Sus scrofa: one gene and its partner. The protein of the gene in region 1 purifies or fractionates together with the protein of each later gene. This does not show direct contact. Links are inferred from orthologs where the notes say so. Each region holds a gene or a part of one and is shown on either strand. Other genes may lie near its edges.

The links.
Region 2: the proteins of SNRPG (region 1) and MEPCE purify together in Homo sapiens (affinity purification with mass spectrometry; 3 studies listed by BioGRID and IntAct, counting the BioPlex papers as one, with this or other methods). This does not show direct contact. The link is inferred for Sus scrofa from reciprocal best matches to the Homo sapiens genes SNRPG and MEPCE.

Annotation. Positions count from the first base shown.
Region 1 is NC_010445.4:72,197,381-72,201,698, reverse strand, and holds the start of SNRPG (small nuclear ribonucleoprotein G), read right to left. Parts: upstream 2,978-4,318; 5' UTR 2,856-2,977; coding exon 2,824-2,855; intron 1-2,823. UniProt on the Homo sapiens protein: Plays a role in pre-mRNA splicing as a core component of the spliceosomal U1, U2, U4 and U5 small nuclear ribonucleoproteins (snRNPs), the building blocks of the spliceosome.
Region 2 is NC_010445.4:8,355,092-8,359,540, forward strand, and holds the start of MEPCE (7SK snRNA methylphosphate capping enzyme), read left to right. Parts: upstream 1-1,510; 5' UTR 1,511-2,567; coding exon 2,568-4,241; intron 4,242-4,449. UniProt on the Homo sapiens protein: S-adenosyl-L-methionine-dependent methyltransferase that adds a methylphosphate cap at the 5'-end of 7SK snRNA (7SK RNA), leading to stabilize it.

The DNA of each region.
Region 1 (4,318 bases):
CCACACCTGTGGTATATGGAAGTTCCGAGGCTAGGGGTCAAATAAGAGCTGTGGCCTTTGGCCTACACCACAGCAATGCCAGATCCAAGCTGCATCTGTGTCCTATGCTGCAGCTTGTGGCAATGCTAGATCCTTAACCCACTGAGTGAGGCCAGGGATCGAACCCACATCCTCATGGATGCTAGTCAGGGTCTAAACCCACTGAGCCACTATAGGAACTCCCCGACCCAATATTCAATGACAGAATCTTACGACCAAAACAGAAAAACAAAGATTTTGTTATATTTTGGTTATTTTAAAAACCAAACAAAGTTGTGAAGAAATCAGAAGGTAATCAAACCATATCCAATCCAATGGATATTTTATTTTATATTTGAGACAATACATAGTGTTTTATTTAATATTAAGCAACAATCTTAAATGTTCAGGATATTCTCCAACACCCAAGTATACTTTAGCAAAATAAATGCATATTGAAATTTTAAATAATTTGAATTAAGCAACAAAATTCCATATCAGCAGGGTAGTATGAGAATATGAAGCCAAGGGCGTTCCCGTCATGGCTCAGCAGAAGTGAATCTAACGAGTATCCATGAGGATGCAGGTTGGACCCTGACCTCACTCAGTGGTTAAGGATCTGGCATTGCCATGAGTTGTGGTGTAGCTCACAGACACAGCTCCGATCTGGTGTGGCTGTGGTTTAGGCCAGGGGCTACAGCTACAGCTCCCATTCGACCCCCCACCTGTGAACCTCCATATGCCGTGCGTGCAGCCCTAAAGACAAAAAGAATATGAAGCCAACAAGTCAAACCAGTTTTTACCTCTTTGCTGTAGGCTAGAAAATATGAAACTTCATTCAATTTTAATGTATATCATGGAGAATTCAAAGATAAATAAGACATGAGGCCTGAAGAAGGTGTAAGAAGACAGGTTTTTACAAATAAAAATATATAGTATGACATGTAAAACAATCAATTTTACTAGGATGTTATAAAAAAACACAAATATAACACATATGAACTTATTTTATTTAATCCTTATGAAAGCTTTTTAAGTTATGCATTGTTATTACCACCAATTAACAGATGGGGAACCAAGGCCCAGAAAGGTTAAGTAAAATTTCCAAAGTCACTCAGCAGTGAAAAAGTTTGAGCAAAATCAAATGGTTCAGTTTGGCCCAAGAACATGGTACTCAAATATTAGCGTGTGTAATATTTGGTGCTTGGATTTCAAATGGAGGAGCGTTACTGCTGGTTCAAGAAGTCTGGACTTTATTATGCAGATGGCAATAAGTTACTGCAGCAGTATCAGGCATGGCTAAGATTACTGAAGCATGTGTAAATCAATCCATTACGCTGTACATCTTGAACTTACGTAGTGCTGTAGGTCAATTTTATCTCAAAAAAACTGGGGGAAAAAAAAGACTACTTTGGCAATGATTTTTAAGAGGGGTAGGAAGAATATGATTGGGCCAGGGTATCTCAACCTTGGCATACTGACATCTGGGACCAGATAATTCTGTTGTTGAGTGATGTCCAGTGCACTGTAGAATATTTAGCAGGAACCCTGGCCTCTACCTACTAAATGCTGGTAGAACCAGACTCTCTACACCACAGTTAAGAACCACAGAATTATATTAAAAGCAGACGGAAGATATAAAAATGCAAAAAAAAAAAAAGATTTCGGGCCTCGTGGGTGGCATGCGGAAGTTCCTGGGCTAGGGACTGAACTTGAACCACAGCAGTGCCATGTTGGATCCTTAACCGGCTGAGCCACGAGGGAACTCCAAAAAAAGATGGTAAGGAAGAAAAAGTTAAAAGTCATTTTGGAGGTAGACCTGGCAGGATCTCACAATTATTGAAATCTACATATAAGAAAAGAAAGGTAATTAAAAACTCTCATTAATATCTTAAGAATCAAAAAGGAAATCTTACCAAGAACACCCCCCCAACAAAAGAGCCTTCTCTAATTAGAGAAAAATGAATGTTCTCACGCATTCCAGTTAACAGAGCAAAATATCACACATTCAAGTTCAACCTAAGTGCAAGAAATTAAGAAAAAAGAACGGGATTTCTTTTTTTTTTTTTGTCTTTTTGCTATTTCTTTGGGCCGCTCCCGCGGCATATGGAGGTTCCCAGGCTAGGGGCTGAATCGGAGCTGTAGCCACTGGCCTACACCAGAGCCACAGAAACGCGGGATCCGAGCCGAGTCTGCAACCTACACCACAGCTCACGGCAACGCCGGATCCTTAACCCACTGAGCAAGGGCAGGGACCGAACCCGCCACCTCATGGTTTCTAATCGGATTCGTTAACCACTGCGCCACGACGGGAACTCCCAAGAACGGGATTTCTAAGTTAAAGCTCAAAGGAACCACCAACACACTAAGATGAAGGCAGCTTTTGAATTTCTCATATACCATCAAAACAATTCCATTCCATCCACCTCCTTAGTTCCTTACAGAATTACTGTCCAACCACCTTATCTCGAACGTGATGCTACTCAAGGCGTTCAGCTAACTGTGGTATTCAAGATCTTTAAGTAACGAAGGATCGAGTGCCAGAGACCCGGCCAGGAACTCCGGCCTGGGAGGCAAACCTGCAGACGGAGGGGCCTTTACGTCTTTGAAAAGCATGCCCACCAGGCCGAAATACAACATTTGCGCGGGATGCAGGCCCGGAAACGTGGGACGGTGGCCCGGATCGCGGCGGCAGCCAGTGGCAATAAGCACGGCAGACACACTCTCCGGAAATGGCTGGGGATCCAAGGAACTCAAGGCCTACAAAGAAGCCGCCATTTATGCGCGGCCCTCATGCATACTTACTTCTTCAACTCCGGCGGGTGAGCTTTGCTCATGATGCCTACTCCGCGAACTCAAAGAAACCTCCAAACGGAATTCGTGTTCTCCCTCACGCTCCAGCGGTAGGCCCGGTGCTTTGCGTCTGACGTCACTGATCCCGTTAGCCAATTGATTGTTGGCCGCTTTCACGTTTCACGTCGCGATACTTAGGAAAATCCTGAGCTCGCAGATCAGTCCCAAGCTTCCGTTGTGTCGCCAGGGATTGGCTAGAGCGGAGGGGTGGGGCCTCCAGTCTTTATATTCCTCTTTGTAATTGGGTTGCTGTTCCTGCCTCTAGCATTTGAAGGACGCTGGTTAACTCATTGTCTTTGTGGGTTGCAAAGTTGTCTTGACGCTACCAGATGAAAATAAGCTCTGGAGGGGTAGGCTCCTAAAAATTTCTTTGGCATGTGTGTGCATACTTCCATGTGTTGTTCTTCCCTTTGTTGTCCTCTGCAAACACTGCGGTTTTTTTTTTTTTGGTCTTTTTAGGACCGAACCCTCCGCATATGGAAGTTCCCAGGCTGTGGGTCAAATCTGCGCTGCAGCTGCTGGCTTTTGCCATAGACAAAGCAACGCTGGATTCTTAACCTACTGAGCGAGGCCAGGAATCAAACTAGTATCCTCATGGATACTAGTCCGGTTCTTAACTCCCTGAGCCACATCGGGAACTCGTTTTTTTTTTTTTTTTAATTTAGCAAATTGAAGGTTTGAGGCAGCCCAGAGTCCAGCAAATCTCCCAGCGCCATTTTCCCAAGAGCATTTGTTCACTTTGTGTCTGTGTCATTTTGATAATTCTTACAGTATTTCAAATTTTTTCATTACTGTATTCGTTATGGTGATCTATGATAGGTAATCACACTAAGAAAAAAAAAATCTTGTGACTTGCTTTGAGGTATTTGCTTCACTGTTGAACCTGTGGTATTTTAGTATTCCCACAGGATGTCATGCTACAACTAAGGTTCTAGTAACAGCTCAGTTAACGACCTCTGCACCAAAGGAATAGAGTGAGGGGGCCTCAGTTTCCAAAAATTTTAATCTAGAGGAGTTCCCGTCGTGGCGCAGTGGTTAACGAATCCGACTAGGAACCGTGAGGTTGCGGGTTCGGTCCCTGCCCCTGCTCAGTGGGTTAACGATCCGGCGTTGCCGTGAGCTGTGGTGTAGGTTGCAGACATGGCTCGGATCCCGCGTTGCTGTGGCTCTGGCGTAGGCCGGTGGCAACAGCTCCGATTCGACCCCTAGCCTGGGAACCTCCATATGCCGCGGGAGCGGCCCAAAGAAATAGCAAAAAGACAAAAAAAAAAAAAAAAAAAAAAAAAATTTTAATCTAGAGGTCATAAGTATATTCCCCACGGACAGTCCTGCAATGCTTCCAAAACCCCACTTAACTGTACCTTGCCCCTCTATATAAAGTATGAAGAGCAGCACACAGATGATTTCTAAAATATTGATTTTCAAGTCGAAAGGTGTAAAAAATGGT
Region 2 (4,449 bases), about 64 Mb from region 1:
ACCCTGATCTTGGTTCAGACCCTTTCTATCTAACTCCCTGAAATGCTTCCACACGTGCCCCTGTTGCTGACTTTAAACTAGCTCATGTTGTTTTCCCTTAAAGGGCACACAGCCATGAACTCCCACATCGCTTCACCATCTGCCCTCTCAAAGAGCCAAGGCTTGGAACAGTAAAAGGCCTACTTCCACCTTTAAAACCAGAAGGAAGAATTTTGGGCGACCTACATTTCCCTTCTCTCTTCCCTCACCAATTCCCTCTTAAGGACGGCAATTAACACCAAAGGTACCACAGGCAAAAGTTCTTCACTCCCCTCAATAGGTAAAACAGTGACTGTCTCTTCCCCATCAAGAAACTCCTCGTGAATTTCCCCTCAGCTCCCTCTCCCCTCCCCCAGCCCGCGGAGGCACCAGGATCCTCATTCTCTCCGGCCCGTCGTCGCCCGCCCCGATACTACTGGGTTACTTTTGTTTGTTTGTTGGGTGCGAGTTTGCTGTTGGAGATTCTGAGGAGAGAGCTAAGAGTTGGTCCTCGTCCTAAAGAGAAAACTTCTCCTCAGGCTAAGAGTTGGTCCTCGCCCTAAAGAGAAAACCTCTCCTCAGGCAACAGGTACTAGGATTGGCCGCGCCTAGCACCTTCACCTGCAACCGGAAAAGCACCAGCAATCTTCTGGAGCGAGGAGGACCTAAAGGCCAGGAGCAGAATGAGCTACCGCAGCAACTCTGCAAACCCCTCCAAAACTCGAGCCAGTTTTCCCGCCACCAAGCAAGGTAAGGCGCGAGGCCACACACAAGCTCCACCCCACCCCTCCTACAAGCGGCGTGCTCGCAGGACTGCTGCGCATGCGCAGCTGGAAGCTAGTTCGGCGCTTGCGCAGCTGAGTTATAGCGCCATCTTCCAAACAAACGCCCTGTAAAACTACAAGTCCCATAATCCTGGTTGGCCTCACTTTTTTTTTTTTTTAGGTGGCAGCAGCAGTGCCTGATCGTTCATGAAGCCCATCTTCCTTTTCCTAACTTTTTTCTCTGCCCTAGACTTCCTTCCTGATTCCCATTCTCCCTTTGAGTCTCCTTCAAACCCTTATTTTGATATTTTGAGACTACCCTTAACACCACTCCCGCCTCTTTCGCCCTCTTCGCAGCCACAGGACCCAAACCCCAATCGCTGTGGGCCCGGAGAACGGGCCCCCTCTGAAAAGGGCATCGAGTAGCTTGTTCCCCATTGGCTGAGGCCGGGGCCCCCAAAGCCGACCGAAATCTCTTCCCTGCCCACGTTCGTTTTTATATAAGGCGGCGCAAACGCGCCGCGGGTGCTCGGAAAAGCCTGCGTGCAAAGGGGGCGGTGGTGGTAGATATACTGTTATTGGTGGCTGTGGTGGGCGTCTGGGTCGCCGTTCCCTAACGGGGGGAGGGGCTCGCGAGCAGGCGTCGGGTGGTGGGTGTGGAGGCGGAGAGGAGGGCGTGGTGTCCCCAGGTGATCGCGATTGAGGGAAGGCGGAGGAGCGAGAGAACGACCTGGCCGTTTCGGGGAAAGAGGAAGTTGGACAACATCGCCTTAGTACTTTTTTTCCCCCAGTTCATCAGAGAATATTTTCCAGGGGGGTGAGTTAAAATGACCTATTGTATTATACTGAGAACAGTAGTTAGGAAGACAGTGGGTACACTCCGCTCCTTTCCTTCTCCTACTTCTAGGTTCGCCCCTCTTTAGAAATAGGTGGGCCAAGAGGGCCACCACTTTATGAATAATTCACGAGGGCCTCCCCGTTCTTTAGCCACGCCCCTCCGAATCGTGCTGACGCATGTTGCGCGTACCAAACCTGAGGAAGCGACGTAGCAGTCCCCGCCTCTAGGACGGAGGGAGGGGCGTCATCTCCAGCACGTGCTGCATCTACCCGCGCAAGCCCAAAAGGGTGTGCGCAGGCGCTGCCCGCTAGGGGGAGGAAGGAGGCGGGGTAGGGAGGTTGCTGGGTTTAGAGCCGGGCGGAGACGGCAGAGACTCATTCCTCAGGAACAAGGGTCGGGTGTCAAGGAGACCTTTTCACACCAGCTCCCCGTCCCCCGCCTACGGTGGGTGGGATCGCGCGGCAGAGACAAAGGATATCACTAGGGACGGACGTAGCTGCGAAGGGAAGTAGGGCGTCAGTTTGGGGTGGTGGGCTTTGGTTGGGGGGGCTTAGGGGGGCTATATTTAAACTCCCGGAGCCGTTAAGTTGGTTCGTACTCTGATGCGCGCGCAACCAGGGTGGTGGCTGAGTGCGCATGCGTGATTCCGGGGCCAGAGGAACGCGCTCCAGCAGTGCGCGCTCGCGGCGAAGCGGTAGTGGTAGAGGAGAAAGGAGTCGGCGCACGCGCGGTTGGTTCCTCGAGTTCGGGTCTCGCGGGCATCTTGTTTTGGTCTCGCGGGCGAGTGGGGCGCGCTTCGGGGGAGGCGCTTGGGGACGAGACTAGGCGAGAAGCGGAACTGCGCGCGCACTCAGGAAAGGGGGGAAGGGAGCGCGGTCTTAGGAAGGGGGGGTTAAGCCCCCTGGTCCCCCTGGTTGCCCTCGACTGGGACGGAATAAGGGGAGGAAATGATCGAGATGGCGGCGGAGAAGGAGCCGTTTCTGGTGCCGGCCCCGCCACCGCCGCTCAAAGATGAGTCGGGCGGAGGGGGCGGCCCCACGGTGCAACCACACCGAGAGGTCGCCTCCGGGGAGCTCCGCGGCGGGACGCAGCGTGGGCCGGGCCCGCGCGCACACTCGGCGGGGTCCCCAGCTTCTGGGGCAGGCAAGGAGAGCCCCGGGGCTACCTCCACCCCTCGGGGCGGCCAGTCGCAGCAGCAGCGAGGGGGCGGCCCCCAGGCCCAGTCGACCGGAGAGGCCTGCTTGTCGGATCCCCAGGGGCTAGCCGCTCCCCCGGACGTGGGGGAGGAGCGCCGGGGAGGGGGCGGAACAGAACTGGGCCCCCTTGCTCCTCCTCGACCACGTAATGGCTATCAGCCCCACCGGCCCCCTGGGGGAGGTGGGGGCAAGAGGAGAAATAGCTGTAATGTAGGGGGAGGTGGTGGAGGCTTCAAACATCCGGCCTTCAAGAGGCGCAGGCGGGTTAATTCGGACTGTGACTCTGTCTTACCTTCCAACTTCCTCCTGGGGGGCAATATCTTTGATCCGCTGAACCTGAATAGTCTCCTGGATGAGGAAGTGAGCCGTGCACTCAATGCGGAGACCCCTAAGTCATCCCCACTTCCGGCCAAGGGACGAGATCCAGTGGAGATACTCATCCCCAAAGATATTACTGACCCTCTCAGTCTCAATACTTGCACTGATGAGGCCCAAGTAGTCCTTGCTTCACCACTCAAGACTGGTCGGAAGCGGCATAGACATCGGGGACAGCACCACCAGCAGCAGCAGCAGCAGCAGGCAACTGGAGGGAATGATAGCCACTCCGTGCTGCCCACAGCCCCCCTCACTCCCTCACTCCAAGGGGAGGGCACCACACAGCAGCAGCGGCAAAGGGGCCAGAACCGGGACGTCCCCCAACCCTATGAACTCAACACAGCCATCAACTGCAGGGATGAGGTCGTGTCTCCCCTTCCATCTGCCCTACAGGGTCCCTCAGGCTCCCTTTCAGCCCCTTCAGCTGCCTCAGTTACCTCTGCACCCCCGTCTTCCTCCTCACGACATCGCAAACGTCGCAGGACTTCCAGCAAGTCAGAGGCAGGGGCTAGGGGTGGAGGCCAGGGTCCCAAGGAAAAGGGCAGAGGGAGTGGGGGAGGCCGCCAACACCCCCACCCACTACCTGCAGCAGGCTTCAAAAAGCAGCAGTGCAAGTTCCAGTATGGGAATTATTGCAAGTACTATGGGTACCGCAATCCTTCCTGTGAGGATGGGCGCCTTCGGGTTATGAAGCCTGAGTGGTTTCGGGGTCGTGACGTCCTAGATCTGGGCTGCAACGTGGGCCATCTGACTCTGAGCATTGCCTGTAAGTGGGGCCCATCCCGCATGGTGGGCCTGGACATTGATCCCCATCTCATCCACTCGGCCCGCCAAAACATCCGACACTACTTGTCTGAAGAGCTGCGTCAGCCACCCCAGACTTCTGAGGGGGACCCAGGAACAGAGGGTGAGGAAGGGACCTCAACCGTCCAAAAGAGGAGCTGCTTCCCAGCTTCCCTGACCGCCAGCCGGGGTCCCATCGCTGCACCCCAAGTGCCCTTGGATGGAGCAGACACGTCCGTCTTCCCCAACAATGTTGTCTTCGTCACGGTAAGAAGATCTGCAGGCTTGGGATAGGGGCCTGGGAATGAAGATGAGATTAAACAGGAACATGGCAGGGGAAGGTTACGACCCAGAGGGCTTCTGTGCACATGAAGAGCCCACATCCTCAAAAGAAGGGTCTGAATCGGCGACTGATTCCACTGGGTGTCTTTCCCCTCCTATAACCTAGCAAGGTGGGGAAGGTAGGGGCTCTACT